Diceros bicornis minor: one gene and its partner. The protein of the gene in region 1 interacts with the protein of each later gene in a biochemical or structural test. Links are inferred from orthologs where the notes say so. Each region holds a gene or a part of one and is shown on either strand. Other genes may lie near its edges.

Region 1 (14,434 bases):
GCAACAACTGCCTGCTGTCTCCAGAGCACAGAGCTGGCACACGTGGGCGCTCGATAAATGCTGCGGGATAAATGAAGGGGTGCAGACATCCATCCGCCTGCTGAGACCCCTGCATCTACTTCCTGCTCAATCCCACAGCCACCCTCCTCGCCTCCCTTCCTTCAGCCCCCAAAGTCCTCAGGGTCAGGCCTCTCGACGCATCATGGAGAAGTGAATTTTACATCTGATCTCCAGCCCCCACAATCCCCCGGGGCGCAGGCCTCCCAATTCCTCATGGGAACTCAGGCCCCAGCCCTGGCCGCCAGCCCCCACAATCCACTGGGGCGCAGGCCTCCCAATGCCCGATGGGAATTCTGCCCCCAGCCCTGGCCGCCAGCCCGCACAACCCACTGGGGCACAGGCCTCCCAAAGCCCGACAGGAGCTCAGCCCCCAGCTCCCACAATCCCGCGGGCGCAGGCCTCCCAATGCCCGCCCACAATCCACTGGCGCGCAGGCCTCGCAATGCCCGATGGGAGCTCAGCCCCAGCCTGGCCGCCAGCCCCCACAATCCACTGCGGCGCAGGCCTCGCGATGCCCGATGGGAGCTCAGCCCCAGCCTGGCCGCCGGCCCCCACCATCCCGCGGGCGCAGGCTCCGCACCTGCAGCGCCCCGAGCCGCAGCCCCCCACCAGCACCCCGGCGCGCGGCTCCCGCGGTACCTCGGCGGCCGGCAGCCGGAAGGCCTCGGCGATCTTGCCGTAGAGCTCCTTGACGTTGCTGAAGCCCTCGATGCGGCCGGTGGGACTGCCGTGGGCCAGCTGCGTGTGGAACACGAGGCGGGGCCGCAGGGCCGCGGGCGGGGGCGGCAAGCCCATGTGGGGCCCCCCTGCCCCGCCTCCGCCCAGGGGCCCCGGCTCCCCCACGCCCAGGCCGCCACGGCCGGGCTCGGCTTCCTCATTCTCCACCAGAGGCGGCGCCTTTTTCCGCCGCCCCAGTCCCAGCGGCATGAGCGGCGAGCGGAGGATGCGCCCGAGATCTGCAGGGCGGGAGAGGGGTCAGGCCGGCGCTCCCACCGCAGCGCCCTGCAGGCCCGCGGAGCGCTCCGAGCAGAGCGGCTCGTGCACACCCGGCCACACTCACACAGCGGTACAGGAGGTGCAGCGCCCGCTCCGTGCCCTCCCGTAGTGCGCACACCCCGTGGCGATGTGGGACCGCATGGTGCCATGATTATGCCCATTTCACAGATGAGAACATGGAGGCCGGGGGCGCTGACGTTTGTCTTTATTTTTCTGTCGGTCATAGTCAGTAGTGCTATGCATAAAAAATTTCTGACTGTGCCCCTTCAAAGCATGTGGGCAGATGGACTCAGTGACCTTGTGACTGACAGGCGTCTGACCAGTCCTGGCCAGTGAGCTGTGAGAAGAGGGGACATGTGACATTTCTAGGCTGAAGTACTTAATTACTGGAGAGACAACCTCCAGAGGGCTATTTCTCCCTGGCACGTGGACCAGCTACGTTTGACATGCTGGCGGCTCCAGAAGGCCAGGCCCTGAGTGACTGCAATGAATGCAACCTCCGCTGAGCTGCAGTGGACACGGAGCAGGAACAAAAAAGAAACCTGCATTGAGTTCAACCACTAAGCCTTTTGGGGTTGTTACTGCAGCAAAAGCTGTCCTGTCTGATACACTGCAGTCTTTCCTCTCCCCCCACTCTCCCTTCAAACAAATGTGTTTTGGGTGCTTACTATATTCCATGCACCATTTTTGGTACTGCCTTCAATAAGTTAAGCAAGGTCCCTGACTGGGGCCACCATGTGCAGTTACGGAGGTTGTTCACTATGCAAAAGCACCACCCCCTGGTGTGGTGATGTGTCTGCTTGAAGAAAGGGCTGCCTTTTTCTAAGTCACTTCTAGGTGCTATCTAGGCTAGCTGGGGCTCTGTGCATGCTGTCCAGAAGCATGCAGTCCAGAGCGGAAGATGCACAGTGAGCAAGCAAACGTGTAAATGTCTAATGTAATTTCTAATAATGTGATGGAGACAATAAAACAAGACGAGTTCTACAGATGCGGTCAGGGAGGGCCTGGCCTCTCTGAGCAGGTGAAGCCGAACCTGAGACCTGCACGTCAGGAAGACTTATCCATATGAGGATGTGAGGCAAGAACGTTCCAGGCAGAGGGAGCAGCCAGCACAAAGGCCTTGAGGTGGGGATGTGCTTGGCATGTTGGAGGAACAGCAAGGAGGCCTATGTGGTTGGAACAGAGTGAGTCAGGGGGGCAGCAGCAGGAGGCGGGGCAGGGAGGGGCGGGGCAGAGCGAGCAGGGCCTTGTGGGAGGAGGAAGGACTTGGCTTCTGCTCTGAGTGAGGTGGGAGCCATGGAGGTTCTGAGCAGACTCACAGATGAGCGAGAGAGCAGGGCGCCAGAGGGGAGTGAGCAAGGGAGAGCGTCAGGAGGGAAGGGAACAGCAGCGACCGGCCTTCTCAACTGGAAAGAGTTAAGATGTCACTTTTAAGTCACAGGTCCAAAGTCACAGAGACAGGCTGCACCCTCAAGTATGTCTGACTCCTAAGTCCAAGGCCGTAACCACAAAGCTGTCCCCTAAGCGCCTGGGCCTCAGGTGCCTGGTCTGCAAATGGGGACATTCCACCCACCCAGCTAGGCTGTGGGGAGGATCAAACTAGGCCAAATTCTATTTTTCTGTGTCTAGGGGACTTCCTGCTCCTTCCCTTCAGATCACCTCTTCCAAGGGGCCATCCTGGATTCAGTCCAGCCCAGTGGGCTGCATCCATTCTCATGCCTCCATTCATTCATTCATTCATTCATTCATCCACCTGCTCTCCAACATCTCCAGTAACATCACCTGGTCCGGCCCCACGGTCACTCACCTAGACTAGTGCAGGCGCCTCCTCTGGGTCTCCCAGCTCCTGCCCTTGCCCCTACCGTCTCTTGTCAACACAGCAGCCAGAGGGAGCCTGTAAAACATAAGTCACGTCACATCTGTACTGTGCCCTCACTCCTCCCAAGGCTCCTACCTCACTCGGAGTAAAAGTCAATGTCCTCCCCTCAGCCCACAGGCCCCAGAAGATCTGGGCCCATCTCCTGCCTGCCCTCGTCTCCTCCCACTCTCCCCATCGCTCGCTCCCTCCAGCCACATGGGCCTCGTCCCCGTTCCTCCAACACACTAGGTCAAGTCCAGCCTCAGGGCCTTTGCACTGGCTGTGCCCCCCGGCATCCACACAACTCCGTCTCTCACCTCTTTCAGGTGGAATATATATTTCATTCATTTATCTCATTCATTGTCTGTTTTCTGAAAGGGCAGGGAACCTTGTCTGTCTTATTCATCCCTATATTCTCGGTGCAGAGAGCAGTACCTGGCACACAGCGGGTGGTCGATAAATATTTCTTGAATGAATGAATGGATGAATGACTGATCCTAATGTTCACCAGCCCACCAGTCCCTGTGCCCGGCTCTGGGGAGATAAGGGGTACAGGCTGTAGTCACTGCCCTCAAGAGGGTCCTGTCTCCCCAGCAACAGCATAAGCCCTACCTCTGGGGTCCCCCATCCTTTGCCTCCCAGCATCATTCCGTGCACAGGGAAGGTGCCTCCTGTAGCCAGGAAGACAGGGAGCGTCTCTGTCCTCTTTCATTGTGGTTTTGTTTTTCATTCCCCTCATAATCAATGATGCTGAACAACTTTTAACACATTTATTAACCGTTTGGATTTGCCCTTTTGTGAACTGCCTGTTTAAGTCTTTGCCCATTTTTAAAAAGTGCATGGTCTGTCTGTTTTTAATTGCACTGCCCATCTTTTTTTCTTATTGATTTGTGGGAACTCTTTACATGTACTGGATACTAGTGTTTCATTGGTTACCTCATCTCTCTATCCATAGCACCCAACACTGGATCTAGCACACAGTAGGCACACACCGAATATTTGACAACATTTGAATTCTGAATGAATAAACCAGTACTGCTCCCTCAAGTTATTTCATTACATTCAATGATGCTAAAAAAAAAACCTCACCATCACCTCCTCTGGTTCCCCTCCCCCCACCCCCCATATATCTTAGCAAGATGCTAAGAACATGAGTCTGGAACCTGACTTCTCCACTTACTAGCTGTGTGACCTTGGGCAAGTGTCTTAACCTCTCTGAGCTCCAAGGAAATCAGGCATGGGCCTGGAACAGTTCCTGGCACACAATAAGGGTTCATAAATATTGGTGATTATTACTACTATTTCCATCTGTACCATCTTTCAATCAGCTGCCAAAATTCAAACTTCCTCTTTTTCCCAGGGCCCACACATTCTGATCACCAAGTCCCAACCTCCATATTCTGCATCTACTTGCTGCCTGCTTCAGGCTGGCTTCTGTGTCCCCACTTGTGAGGGGGCATAACGGTGGTAAGAAAAGTGGATGATTAATGAATTTGCCCTCCAGGCCACAAGAGGCAGGGTGGCCTGGGTTGAGACCCCACCCCACTTACCAGCTGCGTGGCTGTGGGCAAGTCACTTCACTTGATGGGGCCTCAGTTTCCTCATCTGAAAAATGGGCAGAATTCCTGTCTCTCAGGGTGCATATGGGAATCCAAAAAGATTATGCATTCAACTGGATTAGCACTTTGCTTGATATTCAGTTTAAGGAAGCTGTTATCATTATTGTCATTATTATTATTGCCTCCTCTCCTGCCCTGCCCAGGAACATCCCAGTCCTCTCTGCCTGAGAAGCCCTACTCCAGGCCACCTCCTCCAGGCAGCCTCCCTGGCTTGCCCCAGCCTGTGGGAACCGCCCCTGTGGTCCCGATGGCTTAGGCCCATGAACTTAATTACAAGTTGCCCGGGCAGGACTCTTGTCTTCCAGTCTTAGGCTGTTATTTAACTTCATGTCTCTATTTTAAAACATAAACCAGATCGCGTCCCTCCCCAGCCTCAAATCTTACAATGGTTTCCCACCTGACGGAGGAAAAGCTCTGGACTCCTTGTGACCCAGAGACTTCGGCTGCATCTCCCACCCCAGGCACGCTACTCCAAGCTGGGTCCGGCCACAGAGCCTGCGCCCCAGCTGTGCCCCTGCCTGACCTGTGCAGGGCTGGCTTCTTTTTGTCATTCAGACCTCGGCCCCAAAGTCACCTCCTCTGAGAGCCCCTTTGCCCACACATTCTCCCAAGGCCCCCTCATATTTTATTCAGAGCACTCAGCACTGTCTGCGGGTACCTTTCTTATTTACTGGTTAACTGCTGTCACCTGTCCCTCCCTTCCACTACAATGGCAGCTTCCAGAGAGCAGGGATTTTTGTCCCGTTCACTGCTGTATCCTATGTGCCAAGAACAGTGCCTGGCCCATTGTAGGTGCTTAATCAACATTGTAGAAAGAATGAATGTCTTATGTCCTCATTCTGACTCCTCCCCAAACTCCTCTATCCTCAGCACACAGCAGCCTGGAGCTGCTAACCACCACGCCCTCCGATGCTCCCAGCCTCCTCTCAACCCCGCAAGCAGGGATGGAGAAAGGAGCTGCAGCCCGGCTGAGCTGGTCGGCTGGAATTCCAGCACCCCCACCCTCTCTTCTCCGGAGGGGCTGGACACTTAGTAACCCCACAGCCACAGTGAGGGCAGCAGGAGGAGGGGAGGGGGTTCCTGGGAGGTCACAGAAGCCGGAGGAGGGGGACACCATGCCCAGGCCCCCCTTTCCAGTTGGGTACTGCTTTGGAGGGGAGGGCGGGAGGCCTCTGATTCACTCTTGAAAAACCGGCTCCTGGGTGTTTCCGGGGAGAATGCCTACTGCCTGGCCTTGGCCCAGGCTTCCCAGGGGCCCAACAGGCACAGGACCCCAGCGTCCTGGCCCCCTGCCTATCTCCCCTGAAGCTGTCACTCTCTTCTCAGGACCTTCTCGGCCTTGCCTCTTCGGCTCAGGGGAGAAGGGACATGGGAGCAGCTTCCTGTTTGAGCGGCTGGTGTCTGGTCACCTCTGGGGGAGGGAATCAAAGACCAGAAGGTGTGGCCCAGATGGTGTGTGTGGTTGTGTGGGGGGAGCTGGCCAGGAACACCTGAGCCAGGGAGCCACGGGGCATCCGCTCTAGTGGTTGAGACTCCAGTTCTGGACTCTGAGGCATGGGTTCGAGTCCCAGAGCTGCCGCTTACTAGCTGTGTGCCCTTGCGCCAGCCACGCCAGCTCTCTGGGTCTGCTGCTTCACCTCTGGAAGAAGTAACAGCACCTTCCACGAGGTGTTTAGATTCAGCGGCAGGCACGGTAAATACGTGACAGGGAAATGTTGAATAAATGCTAGCCGGGCGGCTGTTTCACCATTATTATCGGGACCTCAGTCCTGCCCAGGCCCCCTCAGGCCCTGGGGCACTGGGACGCGGCCAGCTCCGGGGAGGCACCCGGGAGCGCTCCGAAACGCCGACGCCGCGCCTGTCCCCGCCGGGACGGGGACTGTCCAGAGGGACGCGGGCGGCAGGGGTGCGGCCGGAGACCGCATCCCGGCGGCGGGGGGCGTTTGCCCGCTGCCCCCAGCGGGAACGGAGGCGCCCCGCCGGAGGAGGCCTCGGGCATCCCCGCGCCCGGCCTCGACCTCCCGCCGCGTGCAAGGGCCGGCCCCACCCGCGCGACCGGCCGGGCCCCCGCGGTGCGACCCCGCGGTCCGCGCGAGGGGCCCCGAGCCGCCGCGCCGCGCTCCGCCCGCCGGACACTCACCTGCGCCGCCGCCCTGCGCGCCCCGCTCGGCCCTCCGCAAACTCCGGCCGGGCCTCTCCCGCAGCCGCGGGGGGGCGGGGCCGGCGCCCGCGCCCGGCCAATCAGGAGCGGCCGCCCGAGCTCGCGGCCAATCGGCGCCGCGCCGCGCCTCCGCGCCCGGGTGGGCCCGACGGAAGCATTCCAGAGGGATCCCCGCCCGCGCGGCCCTGCCCGCCCCCCGCGCGGCGCAGTGGACCTTCCCGCCCCGCCTAGGCCGCGGCGGGCCGTACCACCGCGCGGCGGAGGGGGAGCTGCGCCGGGCCGGCCCATCGCGGGGAGGGAAGGAGAGTACGACCAGTGGGAAGCTGGGGCCCCTGACCTCGTGCTGCCGGCTGAGCGTCCGTCTGGGGTGACTGGGGGGTGAGGGGCGAGGGACTGGCCGTGGGAGCCAGGTGACCCAGGCTGAGCCCCGGGGAGGGGATGCGAACTCCGGAAGTCCGGAAAAGCGGACCCTTTAGGAGACCAGCCCCTAATCCGGTCCTCTGCCGGGCCTGCCCCTGCCCCAGCCTGGCCATCCTCGGAGCGGACAAAAAGAGGCATTCATTCCAGGCGGGCGGGCCGGGGACGAAATGAATAGGAAGGGTCCCGAGTGTCCCAGCTTCCTGGGGTGTACAATGGACAAGGGCATTCATTCATTCATTCATTCACTCATCAAATATTTAATGTGCCCCTGCTCCGTGCCAGGCTTTGTCCTGTCTCTAGGGACACTTCAGCGAGTAAGCTGAAGATGCTCCTGGTAGAGGGAACAGTGCCTGCAAAGGCCTGGAGGCCGGATGGGGAGATCCAGCGTGCTTTAGGGTGGTGCAATATCGGAGGAGCTACCAAAGAAAGGGTGCAATGGAATGGGGGACAAGGGCGAGATGGCCTGCTCACTTGTTGGTTAGACCAGCAAATACTTACCGAGCACATGCTATGTGCTAGATTGCAAAGGGTACCCAGCTAACCCTAGCCTCCGCCCTCAGGGAGGGGACCCTTCATAAGTCTGTCTCCTCCATCTGAGTGTTCCCCCCGCCCTGGTCCTGAGACTGGCCCAGAGCCGGGTCTCAGCACAAGTGTGGATGAAAGGACCAGGTAATACCACCTCTAGGTTTGGCTTGCACCTGGGATTTCTCAGGCAGGAACACGTCCAAGAAACAAAGACACGAATGCACCTCGCCCAGGCCAGGACTCTCAGTTGCCAGGACAGGTGAGATTTCCTTGTTCTGGTTCAAAGCCAGCCACTTGGGCAGCTGGGGCTGGACCTGGAGTTCGCTGTGTGTTCTGGGATTTGTAGTTCCTGGAGGCCTCTAATTGCTGAGAACCTGCTCAAGCCTCATTGAAGGACTGGGTCTTTGTTGTCCCCAGAGTGAGCTGCTGTGCACCCCAGCCGCGCCAGGGCCTGCAAGAGTGCCACGTGAGGTGGGAAAGTGGGCCTTGGGCTGAGCTGCTGAGGGCTGCCTGGCTGGCCCCACCCAGCTGGCAAACACCGTGCCTGCCATGGCAACAGGCACAGCCATTGTCCTTCTCTTCCTGTTCTGCTGCCCTCTGCCTCCTCACTGAGCAATCAGGTGCCTGGGCTGGGCCAGAGCCCTGTGTGGGACTGCCATTGCCCTGCTTGCCCCTGATATCTGAGCTGCTCCTGCACACCTGGAGAGGGCAGCATGGGAGGCTTCAGGGCAGCAGAATCTTGAGCCTGAATCCACCTTGACTGATGAGGAAGTGCCGAGGGAGGGGTGAGGGGGTTGCCCAAGGGCACAGAGCAGTGCCAGGCACTTCCTACTCGATTTCATAGCTCAAGAGGCTGCCTAGGGGCCGGCCCGGTGGTGTAGCTGTTAAGTTCAGGCACTCCGCTTCGGCTGCCCGGGTTTCCCTGGTTCGGATCCTGGGCACAGACCTATGCACCACTCATCAGGCCATGCTGAGGCACCATCCCACATAGAAGAACTAGAAGGATGTACAACCATGACATACAACTATCTACTGGGACTTTGGGGAGAAAAAAGGGAAAAAGGAGGAAGATTGGCAACAGATGTTAGCTGAAGGCCAATCTTCCTCACACACACACACATACACACACACACAAGAGGCATGCCTGAAAACAATGGGGAAAAGGTACCTTGGAAAAGGTACCTTGGAAAAGGCAGAGTGGATGAACCTGAAGTCAGAGAACCTTAACCAGAGAATTAAAGTTGCCATCACCAGTGATGGGACAGGCTGTCCTCACGTGCCCCCGCTGTGTGTGATGTACTGAGGAGGACACAACATCCTGCCAGAAGTGTTTAACCTGAGGAGACAACCAGACACGTCCTGACTGAGGGACGTTCTGCAAAAAAAACTGACCTGGACTCTTGAAACAGATCTGTGTCGTGAAAGGCAAAATCTAGCCATTAATTTAATGAATGAATGGATAAAAGGCTGGGGAACAGTTCTAGATTGAAGGAGACAAAAGAGAGATGACAACCAAAATCAATGTATGATCCTTTTTTTTTTTTCTTTTTTTTGCGAGGAGGATCAGCCCTGAGCTAACATCCATGACAATCCTCCTCTTTTTTTGCTGAGGAAGATTGGTCCTGCGCTAACATCCATGCCTATCTTCCTCCACTGTATATGGGATGCCGCCACAGCATGGCCTGACAAGCGGCGCATCGTACGCGCCCGGGATCCGAACCCGAGAACCCGGGCCGCCAGCATTGGAGTGCGCGCACTTAACCACTAGGCTACGAGGCCTGCCCCAATGTATGATCCTTAGTTGGATCCTTGATAAAAATTTCAAAAAAAGATGAAACACTACAGAAGGATATTCTTGGGATAATTGGGGACATTTGAATGTTGAGTGGATATTAGATAATAATATATCCATGTTAAATTTCCTGAGTGTGAGGACTGTGCTGTGGTTAGGTAAGAGAGTGTTCTCATTCTTACGAGATACACAGTGCGTTATTTAGAGGTAAGTTCGTGATGCCGGCAACTGTCAAATGCTTCAGAAAAAGAAATATGTATGTATGCAACATTTTATATACACTATGATAATATGGTATACCTTAGTATTAAGATATAGGGAGATAGGGCCGGCCCCGTGGCTTAGCGGTTAGGTGCGCGCGCTCCGCTGCTGGCAGCCCGGGTTCAGATCCCGGGCGTGCACCGACGCACCGCTTCTCCTGCCATGCTGAGGCCGCGTCCCACGTACAGCAACTAGAAGGATGTGCAGCTATGACATACAACTATCTACTGGGGCTTTGGGGGGGAAAAATAAATAAATAAAATCTTTAAAAAAAAAAAAGATATAGGGAGAGAGAGAGAGAGAGAGAAAAAAATGAATGTGGCAAAATAGTAACAATTGCGGCTGAATCCAGGAGGGTGGTATATGGGTATTCATTTCAGTATTCTTGTAAGTTTCCTATAGCTTTGAAAATTTCAAAATAAACATTGGAAAGAAGTACCCCCATTTCCCTCCCATCCCCAGAGGCTGCCATCCAGTGGCTTTAATATGCACTGTTTTGTTTGTGTCTTTCCTTGAAAATGTGCATGTTCTGTTATATTTGGCTTCTTACTTTTTTTCCACTCAGTACTGTATTGCTTGTTTAGTTGTTTGCTTGTTTTCCACTAGGCCTTGAAGATCCCTCTGTATTGCTAATCTCTTGAATCTGTTTTCTTCTAACTGTGGCTTGGTGCTCCATGGAACTCCATGGAATGCATCCCTCACATCTTAGTCCTCTGTCCTCCAGGGATGGACACCAGGCAGCCTCCAGCTCCCCACGCCACAGTGAACAGCCATGGACCTGCCCCCTCAGGGACCTGGTGAGACTCTCCACAGGAGAGAGACCTGAATGCAGAGATGCTGGGGCACAGGGCACAGACCATTGCTCTGTGGTCCCCCAGGCTAGCTGCCCTTGTCACACCCACTGGCAGTGCAGGAGGGTGCCATGTCCCCACATCTCTGCCAGCCATTCTAAATTTTGCCACTCTGACTCACTGTCAAGTGATGTCCCCATTGCTTTATTTTACATTTCTCTGATTTCTGATCACTTGGAGCATCTCCTCATTTCCTTGACGGCCTTTGGATTCTCCTCTTCTGTAAATTGCCCGTTCATACTCTATCCATTTTGCAGTGGGGGTAGCTGTGTTTTTCTTGTTGATGTGCACGTGTTCCTCACAGAGTCTAGATCTTACTGTCCAGTCTGATCTAACACAAACTCTCCCCTCTCCACACGTGGTTACGGAGCACTTGAAATGGGGCTAATACAAACTGAGATGTGCCGTAAGTGTAGAGTACACACTGGATTCTAAGGCTTATTAGAAAGAAGAGGACGTAAAATATCACATCTCATTAATTCTTTTTTATACTGATTATATATCGTAATAATGATAATGTGGATGTATTGGGCTAAAGTGTATTATTCAAATTAATTTCACTTGTTTCTTTTTACTATTTGAATGCGCTCCTAGAAAATTTACAACTTGGTATGAGCTTGCATATTCTACTGGATAGCGCCGGGATACTGGGCCCTGGCCAGTTTCAATAATGACAGAGCTTCCCACGAGCCAGACGCTGTTGTAAGAAATTTATATTTACTAAACCGTTTAACCCTCCTAATGACCCTGTGAGGTGGGCACAGTATTAGACATTGCAAACATATTCCCCCACCGTTATGTGACGATTTGCTTCACCCGTGATATCCTTCAATGGGAGGAAATTCTTAACTTCAATATAATTGAACTTATCCATTTTGTCATTTGCACCCGTGACATTTCATTAAGGAGGCCTTTTCCACCCTTAGATCACAACGTTTTTCTTCTATTCATTCCCTGGTTTTACTTTTCCTGCATCCTCATTCCCTCCCTAGGCCCCCTCGGGGTGTAGGGTAGGACGGTCACATCTCTCCGTAACCTGCGCTGCTCACAGCGCACCCTGGGCCCCCATGTGCCTTAACCTCCTCGTCTATAAAGCAGTGATCAGAATGGGACCCCCCTCCTAAAGTGATTATGATTGTCAAACACCTACAGTGGTGCTGGGCAGATAGTGAGTGCTCAGTGAACAACAGCTGGTATTATTAAACTGTGTTGAGGGCACAGAGATGAATAAACACAGTCTTTCCAAATAGAAACATTATAAAAATAGACCCCTTTATTAAGCCCTTACTGTTCCAGGCCCTGTGCTGGCTGCTCTTTAGGATTAATCCCACTGGCTATCGCCCCCATTCTAGAGAGGAGGAGACAGGCTCAGAGAAGGGGAGCCACTGCCTCAAAGTTGCACAGCAACTCATGGCTGTGGCACTTGAGCTCCAACCCCAGCACACGTGACGTCCCTCTGGAGGTATGGGTTGCACTGTCCTCAACTTGAGGCCTGGCCCTGAGATGTGGGGGACAGGGCGGATCGAGGAGGGAAAGTGCCGAGGGACATCATCCGGGCCACAGTGCTCTTGGAGTTTGATTGCCTGGCTTTTTGTGGTCGGGCTGCTTGTATTAGCCTGGCAGGACTGCACTCTGCGGGGAGGGCCTGGAGGGGATGCAGGGCAGGTGGCCCTGACGGGGCTGGCTCCTGTGGCCCCAGGTTTCTGCCCCAGTGCGGGCGCCCTCTGAGGCTGAATTTTAGGAAGTCGTGATAAAACCCTGCAGCAGTGCTGTTTTCTGGAGGGCCGACGGGCGGCTCTCCTTTCCAAGTACATCTCCAATCATCTCCCTCCACTTCCTCGGCCCCCACCTGGTCCAGCCCCAGCATCTCCTTCAGGACTTCTCCCTGACGCCTGGCTCCACCCTTGCTCCCCGCCCAGGTCTGCTCCCCCCATGGCGGCCAGAGGGCGCCTGGGAGCCCCCAGTCAGCTCTTGGCCTTCTCTGCAGACGACCCCCACCCAGGGGCCATGTGGCCTCCAAACCCCCTTCGCTGAAGTGTTTCATCTGGAGTCAGGCCTGGCCACGCTGGGGTCCAGCATCAGCTTCCCAAGGGAAGTCAGGCGCCCGTTGAGACAAGCCACCCGGGTTCCAGCTCCAACTTCCAGGCAAAAGCACATCAGGCCGCATCCCTCCTGACTCAACTCTCCCAGCTGGCTTCTCCCGCGCCTGGGGCACTGGGCCTGCCTCGGCAGGGCCCTGACGCCTGGCCTGTCTCACCGTGGGCACGCCCCACCCTCCTCTCTCCTGCTCTCTCTCTTCCGCCACGCCAGGCCTTGGGGCCTCACGCTCCCCAGGCCGGCCCTGCTCGCTCCACACCCATCCTCTGCCCAGGAGCCCCATCCCCAGGGCCTCAGCTGCAACGGCTCCTCTCTGAGCCCTGACAAGCTCATGTCTCCTGGCCTGCATGCCGGGCCTGCCAGGCCTCCTCTCTCCAGGCTCTCTGGTCATGGGAACTGCCTTGACCCCTGTAGTGGGTTGAATGGAGGCTCCCAAAGGACATGGCCCTGTCCCTGAACCTGTGAACGTGAACTTCTTTGGAATAAGGGTCTTTGCAGAAGAAATTAAGCATCTTGAGATGAGATCATCCTGGAGTAGGGTGGGCCCTGAATCCAATGACAAGTGTTCATATAAGAAACAAGAGGAGACAGAGACAGGCAGAGGGGAGGGCCACCTGAAGACAGAGGCAGGGATGGGAGTGCTGCAGCTACAAGCCAAGGAGCCCTGGGGATGGCCAGCAGCCCCCAGAAGCCAGGAGAGAGGCCTGGGACAGACTCTCCCTCAGAGCCTCCAGAAGGAGCCAACCCTGCCTGCACCTTGGTTTTGGACCTCTGGCCTCCAGAACTGGGAGGGAATAAATTCCCGTTGTTTCAAGCCCCCTAGTTTGTGGTGCTCTGTCACGGCTGCCCCAGGACGCTAAAACCTCTGTTAGGTCTGCGTTTCTCGGAGGACCGTGGGCTTCAGGAGGCACTCCCAGAGTGCTGTGTTTGCTGTTCACGGGCTCCTGGGGCTGGTGTTGAGCTGGGCCTCAGGAACTGTGCCCGACTAACACACGAGTCGTGAAGAAGGAACAGGACCCAGGGAGGAGAGCTCTCCTGAGCCAGAGCGAATAGACACTCTCCCAGGTGGAAGCTGGAAGAAGTGGGGTGTGGGGACCCCTTCCCAGGGGAGCCAGCAGCAGACCCCGGGGCTGGGCTGCCCGTCCTCTACATGCTCCCTGACATGAGGGTCACCAGGCGCTTGTTGCAGGTCCTCTGGTCTGATCACTCGAATACTTGTTCAGCAAACACTCGTGGGGCAGTTCTGGGCCAAGTGTCCCTCTAGGCACTGGTGATGCAAAGATCATTAGGGCATGCATGGTGACCTCAAGGAAACTCGGATCGCTCTGGAGAGGGACCTTCTGGAGTGTTCCCGAGGTTGTCTCTCCTCCCCTCATGACAAAGAGGGAAGACATCTGACTGAATGACCATAGAGCCTGAGAACTCAGAAGAAATCAGACCCCCTGCCCCCCAGGCACGCGTGGAACCAGCAGACGCGTAGGTGTTCTCGGCCTGTGGGGGGGACATGAGCACAGGCACTTTAAGGATGAGATTTTAACAGAAAACAATAGTTATTGTTTGTGTTATGTTATTTTGAGATGGAAGGTTGGTGCACTGAAATTTCAGAAGACCGATGACAGGCCTCAGAGGCCTGAAGCTATCATACCATCAAATCACACTCTCCCCGCCTCTCCAGCAAAGGGAAATTAAGACAAAACAGAACCCATAACCCTTGCAAGCTTCCACCTCATTCAGGGGAAAAACCGAAGTTCTCCCAGTGGCCCCCAGGCCACCATCTGCCTCCTTGTCACCCAC
Region 2 (14,712 bases), on another chromosome or scaffold:
GGCTTCTGGCTCAGCCTGCACCTGAAGGTCCTGCCTGGGACTGCCCCAGGGGTGCCGGCCCTGTGCGTGTGCCCCCCACTTGTGGACACACACACTTGCGAAGGCAATCTGAGTCTCTGCCCACGGGAGGGGTCGTGTGTCTGTGCTGCCTCAGTGCGGCCTAGGCCTCGTTGGAGGACTGGGAGCCCCCCCGGAGCAGCAGGGTGCGGTAGGTGGGGGAGCTGAGGAAGCGGGGGTAGGAGTCCCGGTGCATGAGTGTGTAAATCTGCAGCTGCGCGTCGTCGAATGTGTGTGCAGATGGCTCCTGCATCTTCTTGTTGATGCCCTCCCGTACCCGGGAGTCCAGGCTCACCTGTGGGGCAGGGCACCATGGTCAGGGTCCGGGAGGCGCCCCCCACCCCTCCCGCAGTCCCTGCCATCCCATGTGGCGCACCTCCTTGGGGGACAGGATGGACACGTAGTCCTCGTAGATGAGCCGCGCCTTCTCGTCCACCACGTGCTGGTTGGCCTCAGCCTTGAGCTCCTCACAGGCCAGCCAGAAGAGCATGTTCTCCTCACTGTACTCTGTGCGCAAGAACTCCCGAAACACACTGCGGCCTGCCGCGCTGTGCATCAGCTTGTCGAAGGACTGCGCCCAGCTCCGCACCTCCTCGGGGCTTGGCGTGGCGCTGTGGGCATTCGCCGCCAGGCCAGGTCAGGCTCGAGTCCCCTCCGCCCAGACCCCCCAGCACACGCACGTGCACGCACATGGCCCAAACTCACCACGCCTCACAGCTGGGGAGGGGCCGCAGCTTGCTCTCCCGGGAGGCACGCCACGCTCGCCGCCGCTCCTCATTCCTGACGGCAGAGAGGAAGAGGGCACTGTGCTTCTCGGCCACGCAGACAGGCAGGTGTGCGCACCCGGTGAACACTGACGGGTGTCAACAGGAGGCCTAGGGGCTCTCAGACACGTGTGAACCCGCCGCAGGCAGGCAGCTCCTGGGAGTGTCTGTGCCTGCTGTCCACTGCCCCTGGGCCGAGGCCGCTTCAGGAGCACGTGACCCGGGGACCTCTACTGTCTTGTTGCCTTTGGGACTTGACAGGCCCCCGTCCCCTTCTCCCAGAGGCCCTGAGGGATGCAGTGGGAAAGCCCCGGGCCGCATGTCTGATCCCTGACTCTCCCTAGGGGACCTCTTCCCTCCCTTGGCTCCTAGCACTGCTTCAGTGCTGGCTCCCAAATCCATACCTGCAGCTGGCCCTCGCCAGGGCCACCAGGAGATACCCCAACAGACACCTCAAATCCAAAGGCCCAGATGGAACTGAGTTCCCACCCTACCCCCGCCTGCCAGACTCCAACCCATTCCTTGGCCCCTACAGCCAAACTCGAAGTCCTGGCTATCCCTGGCCTGCCACCTCGACCCCCAGGGCCCCACTGCCGTCTCGGGCCTGGGCTCAGGCCTCAGCTACTCGCTGGTCAGCTGACCCCACTTTGGGTCCCCACAGTGCTGTCCACCCCATAGCCAAGGGCCAGAGCCTGAATAGGACCAGGTCTCTGCAAGGCACGAAAACTCCAACAGCTTCCCTGCACGCCTGGAAAACTGGTACCACCTGGAGGCCCACGCCCGCCCTCCGGCACACTGCTCTGGAAGGCGGTCCCCATCGTCCCAGGGCCCGGTCTCTGCTCAAGGCCCCGTCACTGACAGTCTGTAGGATCCGCTTCTGTCTTGCTGCACTGTAGGTCCCCAGGGCCAGCCTGGGCCGGCTCACAGTGGTGTCAGTAAGCATGTGCTGAGTAAACGGACAACGAGTGTGCATGCACACACACACAGGAGTGGCCAGGTGTCTGCACACGGACACACTCTTGGGCACACCAGGCACAAAAGACACACACAGAGGGACCTGTGCACTGGCCACTGGTCACCAGGGCCCAACAGCCCCCCTGGACAAGCGCTGAGAGTGGCAGGGGTGTCCTGCCTGCAGGTGCCACCTCAGAAGCCAGCTGAGTCTGGGGAGCAGGACCCCGGTCCCAGGTCTGCTGGCCCGCCCCGCCCGCCCGCGCACCCTGCACCCCCAGGCCTCACGTACCAGGAGCAGCTGCAGCAGCAGCACCAGCACAGGCAGCAGGGGCTGCGGCTGGCGGCAGCCGGGGGGGCCGCATCATGACTGGACATTGAGGGGGGCTGGTCTGCCTCCTCTGGCCCTGTGAGCTGGGGGAAGATGGGGCCTGCCTCAGGCTCCAGGCCAGAACCCACGGGCACACACACCTCTCTCCCACTGCCTGCCTGCTCGTGGCCACACTCCCAGGGGCATGACCCTTCCGGCCTCCCAGATGTTCAGGGGTCTCCTAACGCCCTGTGGCCCCCCAGTTCCCCAGAGGGCAGAGGCAAGGGTGGAGGAGGCGCACCTGCTTCTCAGCCTCATGCGGGGTGGGCATGGGTGGGTGGACCAGGTCACCCGGGCTCTGTGGTGCTGGCTCCGGGACCCTCACCACAGCCTGGGAGTCTGAGGAGAGAAGGTGAGGTTCTCGCTGAGACCTGGGACCCAGCCCCTGCCTGCCTCTTGGGAGGGGTCCCGAGAGCCTCTCCCTCCTTCCCGGAGCCCCGGTGGGGCCTGCTCCCCTGCCTCCCACCCCACCCCACCCTGCACCATGGCTGTGAATGGGTGAAGCTCAGTGAGGAGGGACCCCAGATAAGATCCCCCACAGGAGGTTCTGGGACACCCCCATCTGCTCGTCCCTGGGAAGCCGGAAGCCTGGGTTCCTCTTTCTTGGTTTCCGGCTCCTGGCCCCTCCCAAGGGTCTGAGGGCCCCCCAAATCTGGGGCTATCAAGTTGGTATGTAGGGGTGGTGGTTAGACATTCAGGACCCCCCCCACTCCCCGCCCCAGCTCCCTCCATCCTGAGTGTCCTGAAGGTTTTCTGTTTGGGAGACATGGGTAGGATGCTCTCCACCAGGAGTCCAGACTGGCCTATGGGCCCCAGAGGATTCCGACCTGTTCCCTGGGCCCCGGCCAGGGGCAGCGGACTGGGCCTGCAGCACGGAGGATTTGAACGGGACTTTGGCATGACCTCCTGAGGGTGCGGGAAGTGGGGCAGCGCATGGGGGAGGAGGGCCATGAGCCTCCCGGGACAGATGGCTCCTCGGTCCTGGACGCTGCCCCTGGCAGCCCCTACCCCTACCCCCAGCTGGCAAAGTCTCCCGTCCTCCCCTCCCTTCCCCCAAGTTGCGGAAACCGCGGCGCGCGCGCGGAGGCCTCGCAGCAGGGCGGGCGCGCCTGTCGGGGGAAGCGGGGGCGGCGGCGGGCGCGGGCGTCCGGCTCCTGGGTAGGAGCTGGGGGGCCCTGCGCGGGGCGCGAGGAGTGCGTCCTTCTCCGAGGCCGCGCGGCACCCTCCGCGGTGGAAGCGCGTGGGGTCGCTGACGCCCGAGCCGAGCAGCCGCCGCGCGCCCCCCGCAGGTCCCGGAGTCCGCGCGGGCGGGCAGGCGGGCGGCCAGTCGGCGCCCTGGAGGCGGTTTTGAAGCCTCCCCACCACCGCCCCTGTCGGCGCCCACCTGGGCCCAGGTGAGGCCCACAGGGCCCGGGGTGCCCCCTGCACGTCGGGCACGCGGACCTTGCTGAGCCCCCGCCATATCTCACCGGCCAGGAGGCTCACGAATTGCTTTTACTTTATTTTCTCATTTCATTATCCTCCTTGCTGCCCCCCATTTCTCAGCTCGTGGCCTGTTAATCCCTGTTTGGTCCAAGTTGGCCTCTCGTGGTCTCCAAGGGCAGGAAGGTGGAGGCGGATGCGCTATGGCAGGCCCTGCAGCCACCGCAGGGCCAGGCGGCCCCTGGAGCAGGGATGCCAGCTCACTTGGGGCTCTGGCCAGGTGCGGCGCCAGGACGAGCATGAGGGCATTCAGAGGAGACAGCGCCCGAGTTATGCACACTTAGGGCACCCTGCCTCCAGGGCCTGGGCACCAGAGGCCCCTGCCCTGACCCAAATCTGGGGGCAAAGTGCAGGGTCACCTCAGGCCTTGGCCCTCACCACCTGCCTGGCTTCCCCTGAGGTCACGGGGGACCTCAAACTGGGTCCCACCGGCTCCCATCGAGCAGATGGGGAAGCAGCAGCCCCACAGCACGCCTTCCCTCAGGGGTCAAGTTTCTAGGGAAAGGAAGGGGTGTGGCAGCCTCTGAGGTCTGTAGCTGTGCCCCAGACGCTGTGACTTCCCCAGGCAGATCTGCTCTTCCTCCTCTGCACCCCACCCACTGTGAGTGGGGGCAGGGCCTCAGGCCCCCAGCCCCCTGGAGACTATACCCCGTCGGCTGCAGTCTCCAACCCAGCCCTGAATTGGAGGAGGGGGCCGGTCTGAGGGTGCAGGGCCCAGGTGCTGGGGCTGAGTGTGGGGCAGAGGAAGGGCCAGTCCCTTCTGTCCCTGCATCTCAAGCTGGCTGGGGCCACCCGTGCCCCCAGGGCACCCGCTCTCTCCTGGGGAGTACAGAGTCTGACCCAAAGTCCCTGCCCCTCACCCTGGCACCCCAGAGGGCCTCCTTCCCCTCCCCAGCCCCTTCAGGCTTTGGGCCCCAAGTCTGGGGTGGAAGAGGCAGGACAGGCAGCAAGTTTGGCCTCTAGGGACACAGGCTCCCTCGGGAGCGGCTGCTGCTCTGCTCCACAGAAGGAAAAAGAACGTCCCCGAGCCCGCCAGTCCAAAAAAAGAATAAGAAAATGTGACAATCCCAGAAAAAATGCTGTCGCCCTTAGGAGGGGGTGGCCGGGGGCTCCATTTCCTCCTGATCCTACTCAGTACCCTTCCTACATGCTGCCCACCCTCCCCAGCTGGCTGGTGGGAGAGCCCCAGCCTGGACCCTCCAAGGCAGGCCAGGTCTTCCTAGCCCTGGTGACCCTCACCCCAGCCCACCCCTGCAATGGTGGGGTGACCCGCTTCTCTCTCTCTCCCTCTCTCTGCTGGCCTGGAGGAGCCTGTCTCCTTCAGGGGCTTCTTCCTCTAGGCTCTGGCGCCTCCACCCCTCCCTCAAGGAGCTCGCAGTGGCGCTCCCACTCACCAGCGACCCAAAGGCAGGTGGGGGCGGAAGGGGCCAGGTTCGTTCTGGGCCCCACCCTGGCTGCCGAAGGGGCGTGCACTGCAGCAGCACCGACTCAAGTCAGACGGCAGGAGGAACTCCTGCGACGTTCTGGAGGCAGGCCGGCGCCGGGAGCCCTCGATCGGCTGGGGTCGGGGGCGCAGCGCTTCCCCTGCGACTCGCGGGGCTGAGCCGCTGCCAGATCCAATGGGGTGGGGGCGGGGGCGGGCCGGGTGTCCTGCCTCGGCCCCTCCCCACCAGGGGGAGGGGGGGCGGGAGACGCGGAAACCTGGGTTCTTCCGGGCCCCCCCTTTGAGCAATCACTTCCCCAGGCTTTGCGCTGCAGAAAAAGGGGAACCCGGTTGCAGCGCCCCCTCCCCCACGCGCGGGGGGCGGGCTCCAGTCCCGCCGCGGCCCAGGGTCCACGTGGACCCCGCGGCGGGAGCCCTCGGGGTGCGTACCCCGGCGCCGGCTCCCGAGGCTCCGGGCCCGCATGGCCCCAGGGCCCCGGGCTGGGAGGGGCAGGGCCGCCGTCCTCGGCGCCGCGCGCGCGCACTCACCGGCCGCGCTCCCGAGCCTCTCGCGCCGCCGCCGCCGCCGGCCCGCGCGCTCCGAGGTCCGGCCGGATGGTCGAGGAGCGGGCGCAGGGTGCAGTGCGCAGGCGCCTCGGCCGCACTTCCCCAAAGCGCGGGGCCGGGACTTCCTCGCGCGGGGAGGCGCCCGGCCCGCCCAGCCCCGCCCCGCGCTCGCCGGCTCCGCGCCCCACCGCCCCCTCCCACCGCCCCGCCCGGTCCCGCGCAGGGCCTCGGTCCCCCCGGTCGCTCAGGGTGGCCCGTGGAGATGAGGTGCTAATAATGGGGCCTCTGGCCCCGGGGCGGCCTGAGCTGGCACTGTAGTAGATGGGGGTGTGGCCGTGCCCCCCACTCTGCTCAGCGAGGCCATGCCAGCTTTGCCATTCATGTGGGCGTCCACGAGACTCCAGTCCAGGGCGGGGGCACGAGAGCCCTCCAGACTTCGGCGTCCCGATGTGCTGCTGGCCCCGCCATAAGAAGAGGCCGCCGGAAAGGACTCGGATGGTTCCTCGGCCCGGCCCTAGCCTTTCTGAGACGAGGTGCCCTCATGGGTAAAATGGGTTGAGAGCGCTAGTATCGTGCGGTAGGGGCCTCCCGAGGAAGGGGTTCCTGTGCTGCGGCGCGGTTGGATGCTGGGGTCCGGGTTCCTACATCTGGACTCATCGAATGTCCCTGTCCGTGAGGCCTGGCCTAGTCCCTTCCGACTCCTCCAGTTGCCCCAAGATGTCCTCAAGTTTGAAGCCACACCCTCCCCTTTGCCACGAATGCCCTGTCCCTTCTCTTTGGCCCACTCTCCTCGTATTTTATGACCCGGTACAGCTGTGAGTTAAATTCCTTATCCCAGTATGCTTTGGGCCGGTGTCGGAGAGGCGCTGACCATGCTCTGGAAATGGCCTGCGGCATGTCAGGGTCCCCCTGGTCCCAGGTCAATGCAGCTCCTGTCCCTGGTGCAGGGGCTCAGCCTGGTCACAAGATGCCTTCCAACTGCAGGTGTGTGCACGTGTGTCAGAACTCCTCACCACATAAGGAGAAGGGACTGCACAGGCCCTTCATTCATTCAGCAAGTATCCGGGTGTCCCTGTGCCAGGCAGTGGGGCCCAGCAGTGAGCAAGACAGACCTGCCCTGGAGCAGAGGAGAAACAGAGGCGGGCTGAGGGGTGAGGAGGGCTGCTGACAGCCGCAGGGCAGGAGGGAGGTATCATCGCGCCGCATCTTCGCTCAGCAAAGGATGGGTAGCGCAACAGCAGGGCAGGGCCTGGGGGTGGGGGCAGGCTGGAGGAGAGGGGCAAGGTCAGCGAGGTGAGAAGAGACAGGGCAGAGGCTGGACGCCTGTCCAGACTGGAGGCGGTGGCTTCTTATGTAGCCTAGATAGCAGTGCTGAGAGGTAGGTCCCACAAAGATGGGCCAGGACCTGGTTAAGGTCACATAGCCAGTTCGACACACACCACAGCGCTGGGTGTCTCAGCTCCACCCACCTCCTGAGAAATGTGTGGGGCAGCTGCCGTGGCGGGGGGGTCAGCACACGTCTCTCTCCACCCTAAACCCCCTTCCCCCCTCCTCCCTCCTAGCCCTCCACACAACATCCCCTCTCTGGCGACTCCCCATATCCTCTGGCCACTTGAGCCTGCTCTCCATTCCTCTTGCCTCAGCCCTTCTGGGTCTTTGGTACCTCCTCTGGGGAGTCTGTCTCTGCACAGAGCATCCCTGTATTCCACAGGAGGAACCTAGGTGGGCTGGGCAGGAACTCTTTCAAGGCGACGCAGCACATAATGCTGGAGATGGGATCTGAACCCAGGACCCTCTAGCCAGAGCATGAGCTCCCAGTCCCGAGGACCCACCTGATCCCTCACAACCCCAATGCATTGGGCCTTGGCCCACATGCTTTGCTCTCCCATAGCAGAAGCCTCCTCTAGACCCCGCAGAAATGTCCTCAGCCACTTTCCCTGGTCTCCTCTGCAGACCTAGGGACCCCTCCCTGGCATGAGGATCAAAGGGCACCCATGTACCAGTTCGAGGTCTGGTGCAGAGCAGCCTGTGAGCCCAGCTTCTTGCTGGCCTTATCCTCAGGGCTTGTGCATCTGTCTCGTCCCTCTGTCAGCTGGTGCTTGCCTGATGCAGAGTGACCGTGTGGGGTCACCGCGTGGGGCACAGTGCCAAGTGAGACCCACAAGACTTTGATTTTAAAGATGAAGAAATGGAAGCTCAGAGAAGTGATGAAATAAAGTGTGCTTTACTAAACAGATGAAATCATCCTAGGCACTCGGTACATCCCCCAGAGGCAGAATGCTGGGGTCCAGACTGCCCGGGGCTTGGCCAGGGGCCAGGGCTGGCTGTCCTCCTGTGTGTCAGGGTGCAGTGGCCACCACTCCTGGACAGGGAGACTGCCTCCCCTTCCCTGTCTCTCTGTCTTCAGCCCAAGCCACCTTTTCTCACCCTGTTCCTCCTCCCCCTCCCTGCCTGTAACCCCACCCCCCAACCATACATAGCTCTCCCCTCCCTCCTGGAGCTGCCAGACTCCAGCTCCACACGTACTTCTGGGCTTGGATCAGGGCCAAGGGCAGTGACAGCTCAGAAAGGGCAAAGGGTCAGGTGCAGGGGGAAAGGGCTTGCTGAGGGCACAGAGAGCCCAGGTCCCCCTGCAGCTCTGTCCTGCCCTGAGCCAGGTCAGGGAGGGCACCATCTGTCATGATGCAGGATTTCTTGTCAGACCCCAGCTCTGCCCTCTGCCAGTAAAGAATGCACCCCTCCTGGATCCCTTCTCTGCGGGCTGACTCAGCAGGAGCCCCCTGGCAGGGGACGGGGCTTGGCTGAGTCCCTGCAGCCCCCACCACTGCAGCCACGGGCTGGGAGGGGCTGGGAGCGAGGAAAAGGCAGAGGCGCCCTAGAGAAGTCCCAGACTCTGCGAAGAGTCTGTGTTGACGAGAAGAGTCAATTCTCCAAGGGGAGACCTGCCCAGAAACTGGGGAGGCTTTTCAGAGCCCAGAGGGGGTGCAGGGCAAGGGTTTGTTAGAATGGGACAGGGCCGGTTTCCTTCCTGTCCTGTGTGTGAATATGTGTGTGTGTGTGGTGGGCCGGTAAGGGGGGCGGAGGGGAGCAGAGGCAGCCATTCAGAATTGAAAGGAAACCCAGAGAGTGATTTTCTGTCTGGGGCACTGGGGCCTCCCTGAGGGGTCTCCCTTCCCCAGTCTCTTGGTCCTCTGGAGGACCTCCTGGGCAAGGCTGATGCCCCAAAGGCCAGCTTTGGCTTGTGCAGTCACCCCCCGCCCAGAATATTACCCTCTTCCCTGATCCCCTGATGAAATGACCTGCAATCTGGCGTCCCACTTGGGCTCCACTTTCTCCTCAAGCCTGCCCTTACTTCTGGGGCTGTGACTGTTGCCAAGCCAGGCTCTACCTCCTGTGCCCCCAGACTGGGGGCCCTCGTGGAATCCCAGGGCACTAGGTTGCCTGATGGGGGCATCCCAGGATTCGGGAGATTAGGAGTGTCTCTGTCCTCTGTTAATCTGATGCCCGCCTGTCCACCTGCACCTTCCTGCTTTGTTGGAGGAGCCCCATGCTGTGTACCCTGATGTCTGTGGCATCGGATGGGGGAGAGGCAGCATCCATACTCCTCCTTCCCTCCCGGCGAACCTGGAGAGGGGGAGGGGAAAGAACAGGGGGCGCCTGGAGAACGAGAGCTTTATGTGGGAGGGTGGGGCACGTTCGCGCGCTGTGGGGTCACCGTCAACGCGGGAAGATGCTGCCATCGACTTTCTCCTCCAGGATGGTCTCCACGCGCCTCCGCTGCGGGGGAGAAGGCTGGGGCCAGGTGTGCGGGGAGGCGGGCGGGGCCCCCTCTCTGCCCCTTCCCGGGCTGGCAGGCACCTCTTGACGGTCCAGGGGGTCCCGGATCCGCGTGGGCTTCAGCGGCGGCAGGAACAGCTCCAGCCGGATGGCGGCGCGCGCGGACTTCTGATGCAGAATGAGGAGCGAGATCTCCTCCGCCTGCGGTCCCGGGGTCGGGGTTGTTTCTGGGCCTCCGTGACGTTTTGCAGAGCACCCAGGCGGGCAGTTGCCCCACTCCCCGTCCGCCTCCACCCAGCCCCCTCCCGCAGGGCATCCCAACTGGTACCCCCCTCCGCCCCGCGTTTGATCCGTCTGCACCCCGCCCCTTGCCTCACGGGGGCCGGGCCGTTCTGCTCTCCTGGCCTGCCCCCCAACCTTCTCGCCTTTCCGCCCCCTCCCTCCGGCCCGCTCGCCTCACCCGCATGCGGGTGTAGCGCAGTCGCAAGGCGCGGACTCGGCCTCGGGCCTCGGCTGCCTTGAGGACGCCGAGGAGCCGCTCCTGGCACTCCGCCGGCTCTAGCGGCTGCGTCCACGCGCGCGGGTCGGGCATCCGGTACCCCAGCTCCACAGACTCGCGCGGGAAGATGGAGGCCGCCGCGCCCACGTCCTCAAGCACGTCGCCGAAGAGCAGCTGGCGGTGGCGCTGCGCGGGGGGTGCGGCCGCCAGCCCCTCCAGCGTTAGGGCCCAGCCGGGCTTGGGGGGCTCTGGCGCGGGCGCCCCTTTGGCGCGCTCCTGACGGAACCCTGCGTCCTGTGCGCCCTGTCCCGCTCGCTCCCGCGGGACTATGCGCTCCCCCTCCGTCGCCGGCGGCGGGGGCTGCATCCTCGGCCCTGCCCCCTGCCGAGGGAAGAGGGCTTCCCTTTGGTGCCCAAACGGTGTCCGTTGGGCACCTGCCCGCCCCTCCGGCCTGGCCCCACCGTGCGCTCCCAGCTCCGGCCGCTCTGGACTCCCCGCAGCCACATTTGCCAAGCCAAGCACAGTCCCCATCAGCTCAGCCTCCCTTCTCGGTCCTGCAGGAAGCTGTGACTTTCTGACCCACTCAGCTTTTCAAGAAATTCCCTTCCTGCCCACGGTCTGTTTCTCTGTCACTGAGAAAATGCAGAGACCTCTGGGCTGACCACGTGAGACTGCTCTTGGGGAGGGACCCTTCCCCGTGAGGCTGCGATCCTCACTGTGCTCCAGTCCCCGACGGGTGGGGTCACCGGTCAGTCAGCAAACCCCACCCACCCTGGAACCCCAGGGACTGGTCTGGTCTAGTCTGCCCCACATTGGCCTCAGGGCCCTCTGCTTTAGTGTTAGGGCCTGGAGATGGAGGGGTGGGCCTTCATTGTGTCCTGAACTCATGTCCTTCTGGGGGATGCATGTAGGTTTGTCTGTCTGTGTGTGTCTGGATGTTCTTGTGTGAGTCAGTCTGTGGCTGTGGGCGGTCTCGTGTGTCTGGGGCTCAGAGCTGAATGGACAGCTGGCTTGCTGCAGGGGAGACCCCATCTTCCTAGACTGTCCCCTGCTGGGTCTAGATGGAGGAGGGGAGAGCAGACCCCAGGGAGGAGGTGATAGAGGGGAGAGGGTCGATGAGGGGGAAAAGGGAACCGACCCCAGGGGGGTTCCGTCCTCAGGGCTCCTCCCTTCCCCCAAACCAGCCCACAGCACCGCAGACCCCAGACCCTGGGCCAGGTTCTGGCCCACTGTGGGCCGGGGGGCTAGAGCCACAGTCTAGGTTTCTGCTGGCGACAGCGCCCCTCCCCCCCAATCCATCCTTAGCTACTGTTATCCAGGGCCTGACCCTTGTCACCACCCCCTTCCGGGCCCCACACCCCGTACATCATGCCTTTTTGGTCTGAGCCTCCAACTCTGGCCACTCTCTGGGGCTTGTTGACTCGGTTGCCCGGCAACTGGGAGTCCTGCCCCTCCCCAACTGATGGGGCGGGGCGGCCGTTCCAGAGGGGCGTGGGCAGAGCAGTCCAGGTGGAGGGCACCAGGGTCACCTGCCCCAGCCCCTCTGGGCTGTTGAGGACCCTGGAGGAGGTGACCGCCAGATTTTCCTGGGTGCTTTCTTTCCTTTTTGGGGAGCCCAAAAAGAACTCACCATGTGGTAGCGCAGTGTGGGGGCCAGTGGCGGCCCCAACCTGGGTTGCATTGTATCCAGCAGGACTGTCTGGAGGAGGTGACCTGCTAGGTCAGCCTTCCTAAGCCCTCAGTGCTTCTTCTGGCACCCAGAGAACTTCACCGAGCCCCCACACTCTTCTGGGGGCTGTGGGCCCAGCTTCCTGGCTGGAGAGGTCTTTGGGGACAAGTTTTGGGGGCAAGGGGCGCAGCTATGAGGAGACTTGTGACTGAGGGCCTTTCCCCTCTGCATGGCCCAACAGGTGCTGGGGTTCACAGAAAGGGGAAAGTGGGGCAGAACTCAGGACCCTCACCTCTTCCAAGGCAAGTTTCAGGCCCCAGGGGCCCCACCAGACCAGACCCAGGTTTTGCTGAACCTAAATCTCTGGGTCCTGGGTTCTAGATTTCTGTAATCTATTTGTGTATTCATTAATTTCATAATCTTTTATAACTAATTCACTTTTTAATTTATTAGTTCTATAATTTATTCATAAACTCAACAGTTTATTCTAGAATTCATTAATTCGTGTGTTCATTCCACAGTTTACATTAGGCCAAAATTGGTGCACTAAATCCATAATTTGTTAATGTATGGGTGCCTTCCACGGCACACACATAACTCTCCCCTTTACTCGTGAATGTGCCCCTGGGGCCGATGTGGGCGCTGGGGCCCATAGATGGTGTCTTTTGGGAGTTCAGTACCTGAGCCCTTGAGGTGGGGCCATCCTGGTTTTGGGGGTGGGGTCTTAGCCGAGGTTTTGGCCTTTCTGCAGGAGGCTGTTCACTGTTCCCACTGTTGTGGAAGCTTGCTCTGGCCTCCTAGTCAGAGGGTAAACTATGCCTGTGCTCCCCCATACCCAAGCCTGCACCATACCCCCGAGCTCCACAGAATGACTGTCCATCCTTCCAGCCCCTAAGCCTTCATACAAGTTGTTTCTTGGAAGCTGCCCTGTCCCACTCTGCGTGCACCTTTGGGGTGTGGCCTGGGCCTTGGGATTCAGCACCAACCTGGAGGCTTGTTGAAGATGAAGTTCTCTGGGCTCCAGAAGAAGCAGTGAGGGCTTAGGAAGGCTGACCTAGTAGGTCACCTCCTCCAGACAGGCCTCCTGGATACAATGCGGCCCAGGTTGGGGCCGCCACTGGCCCCCACTCTGTGCTCCCACACGGTGAGTTCTCTGAGACGGGGATCTGGGCGCTCCTCTCAGCCTCCAGGGGTCACACAAGAGGGGGGTGGCTTGCTGGCTTCTGGTGGTGAAGTGGGGTTACAGAGGGAGTGGGGGCACACTCTCTTGCAAGAAGGGACTTGGGACTTTCCCTCTGCTTTTGTAGGACTGAAAAACTTTGACACTTCCTCCCTCCGTAATTTCTGGAGGGCTTGGTGCCCACACAGCCCACATCCCTGAGCATGGCTTCTTCCTGCTTCTCCACACACCTGTGGTTCCACTGGGAGGGCAGCTGTTCCCTGTGTGTCTGTTGAGGCCCAGCAACTGTGAGGCACCACCAGGCAGGTGTCCTCCATCTGTTTCTGAGTCCAGGATTCGTGTGTTTTTCAAGGGCCAGTGGAAGTGCTGAGATCTAAAAGCACGCTGACTGGGGGTCCGGCCCGGTGGCCTAGCGGTTAAGTTCGCGCGTTCCTCTTCGGTGGCCCCGGGTTTGCCGGTTTGGATGCTCGGTGCGGACCTACTCACCTCTCATCAAACCATGTTGAGGAGGGGTCCCACATAGAAGAGCTACAGCTCTACGACTATGATACACAACTATGTACTGGGGCTTTGGGGAGAAAAAAACAAAAAGAGGAAGATTGGCAACAGATGTTAGCTCAGGGCCAGTCTTCCTCAAAAAAAAGAAAAATTAAAAAAAATAAATAAGAGCATGCTGATTGGTGCCAAAGCCTGAAAATAAACTTCAAAATAAAATTAATAAGCTTTATCAAATGGCTACAAAATTTAACATTAAATTGAAAATCTACAACTCAATTCTCTTGTTGCTGTATATAAATATTATGAAGTTGAAATCATAAGAACAAAATAATTTATTGTGATGAAATTCAGAATTATTAAAAATTCTGAGTTTCAGTTTCTTGACAGCACAAGTGGTTGAGTGTGGCTTGGTGACTGAACTCCCCAGGGGACGGCTGTTGTGTGAGGCTGCCAGTGACGATGCTTTGATTCCTGTGCCCAGCCCAGGGGTGGTGAAGCGTGCAGAGCGGGGAGCGGACAGCACGCCTGCCCCAGGCGGCAGAGCTGGCGCTGGAGTCTGCCATCCGCCCTGTGAGGCTCTGAGTCGTTGGGGTGAGAGTGGAGTGTGTTTACCGCAGGGTGTGGGTGTGAATCTCATGCTGGGACCTGGGTCCTGCCCCAGATGCATCTGAGTTCCGATTAGGGCGCCGGTGGGCTCCGACCGTAGTTTGTGTTCTGTGCTATCATTCGCAAGCTGTGTGTCTCGGGCCGTCCCTGTGTCCCTGCGTGTTCTGTTTTGCCTACATATGACGTGTGTTTGAAGTTGTCCTACTTTGACCTAAATACTCGCTCATATAACACGTGTCCTCTGCTGTCACATGTGTCCACGTGTGACACATATGTTCTGTGTCTTACTCTGGCTGCTCAGGGGTCAAGAGAGGCCTAGACCATTTCCGCTCAGGAGTCAAGAGGCGTCAGCCCCCTTTGTGGGTGCCCTCCAGTGTCCAGGGCTGGGCTGCTGCCACCCCCAAGGAGTGTAGTCAGCATCCTGGCCTGGCTACCCATCAGCCAGGTGACTAAGCCTGTCCTTCAGCTGAGACTGTGCCTGTGAGGGGCCAGGTATCGGCCTCCAGCTGTCCTGTGCCGGCTCTGTCAGATGCACTCTCACAGGGTCTCTGTCCAGACCGTAACTCACGTCCAGCCTCAAAGCCACCTCATGGCCCATCCCTTTCCCCAGCTGAGGCCTGCTGGGCTGGGAGGCGACTAAAGGCCAGTATGAAAAAGCCCTCTCGGCTGGCGAGCAGGTGGAGGCACAGGCAACTGGGTCAGGAGGGACTGAGGTTGGCTGGTCAGGCCTGGGGGAGCCCAGCTCGGGGAGGCTACAGGAGGCCGAGCCTCCCTGGGTTCCTGCCCCTGCTGGGCTCCTGAGGTCAGCAGGAGGTGCTTTGAGCTTTGTCTGCAGAGTATGGTGCACGCGTCTGTTCCCTGGGCGTCTG

Evidence for each region.
Region 2: the proteins of GIPC1 (region 1) and RGS19 form a complex in vitro, tested with the Homo sapiens proteins (2 studies listed by BioGRID). The link is inferred for Diceros bicornis minor from reciprocal best matches to the Homo sapiens genes GIPC1 and RGS19.

The regions. Positions count from the first base shown.
Region 1 is NC_080769.1:3,388,064-3,402,497, reverse strand, and holds the start of GIPC1 (PDZ domain-containing protein GIPC1), read right to left. Parts: upstream 6,724-14,434; 5' UTR 6,674-6,723; intron 4,520-6,673; 5' UTR 4,465-4,519; intron 3,449-4,464; exon of another isoform or gene 3,232-3,448; intron 2,951-3,231; 5' UTR 2,864-2,950; intron 1,017-2,863; 5' UTR 988-1,016; coding exon 700-987; intron 1-699. UniProt on the Homo sapiens protein: May be involved in G protein-linked signaling.
Region 2 is NC_080758.1:167,641-182,352, reverse strand, and holds the start of RGS19 (regulator of G-protein signaling 19), read right to left. Parts: upstream 5,641-14,712; 5' UTR 5,597-5,640; intron 5,456-5,596; exon of another isoform or gene 5,019-5,455; intron 2,482-5,018; 5' UTR 2,414-2,481; coding exon 2,384-2,413; intron 2,187-2,383; coding exon 2,065-2,186; intron 838-2,064; coding exon 763-837; intron 669-762; coding exon 434-668; intron 353-433; coding exon 161-352; 3' UTR 1-160. Other genes in the region: protein LKAAEAR1, read right to left, coding at 9,332-9,391, 9,473-9,592, 9,852-10,256. UniProt on the Homo sapiens protein: Inhibits signal transduction by increasing the GTPase activity of G protein alpha subunits thereby driving them into their inactive GDP-bound form. Binds to G-alpha subfamily 1 members, with the order G(i)a3 > G(i)a1 > G(o)a >> G(z)a/G(i)a2.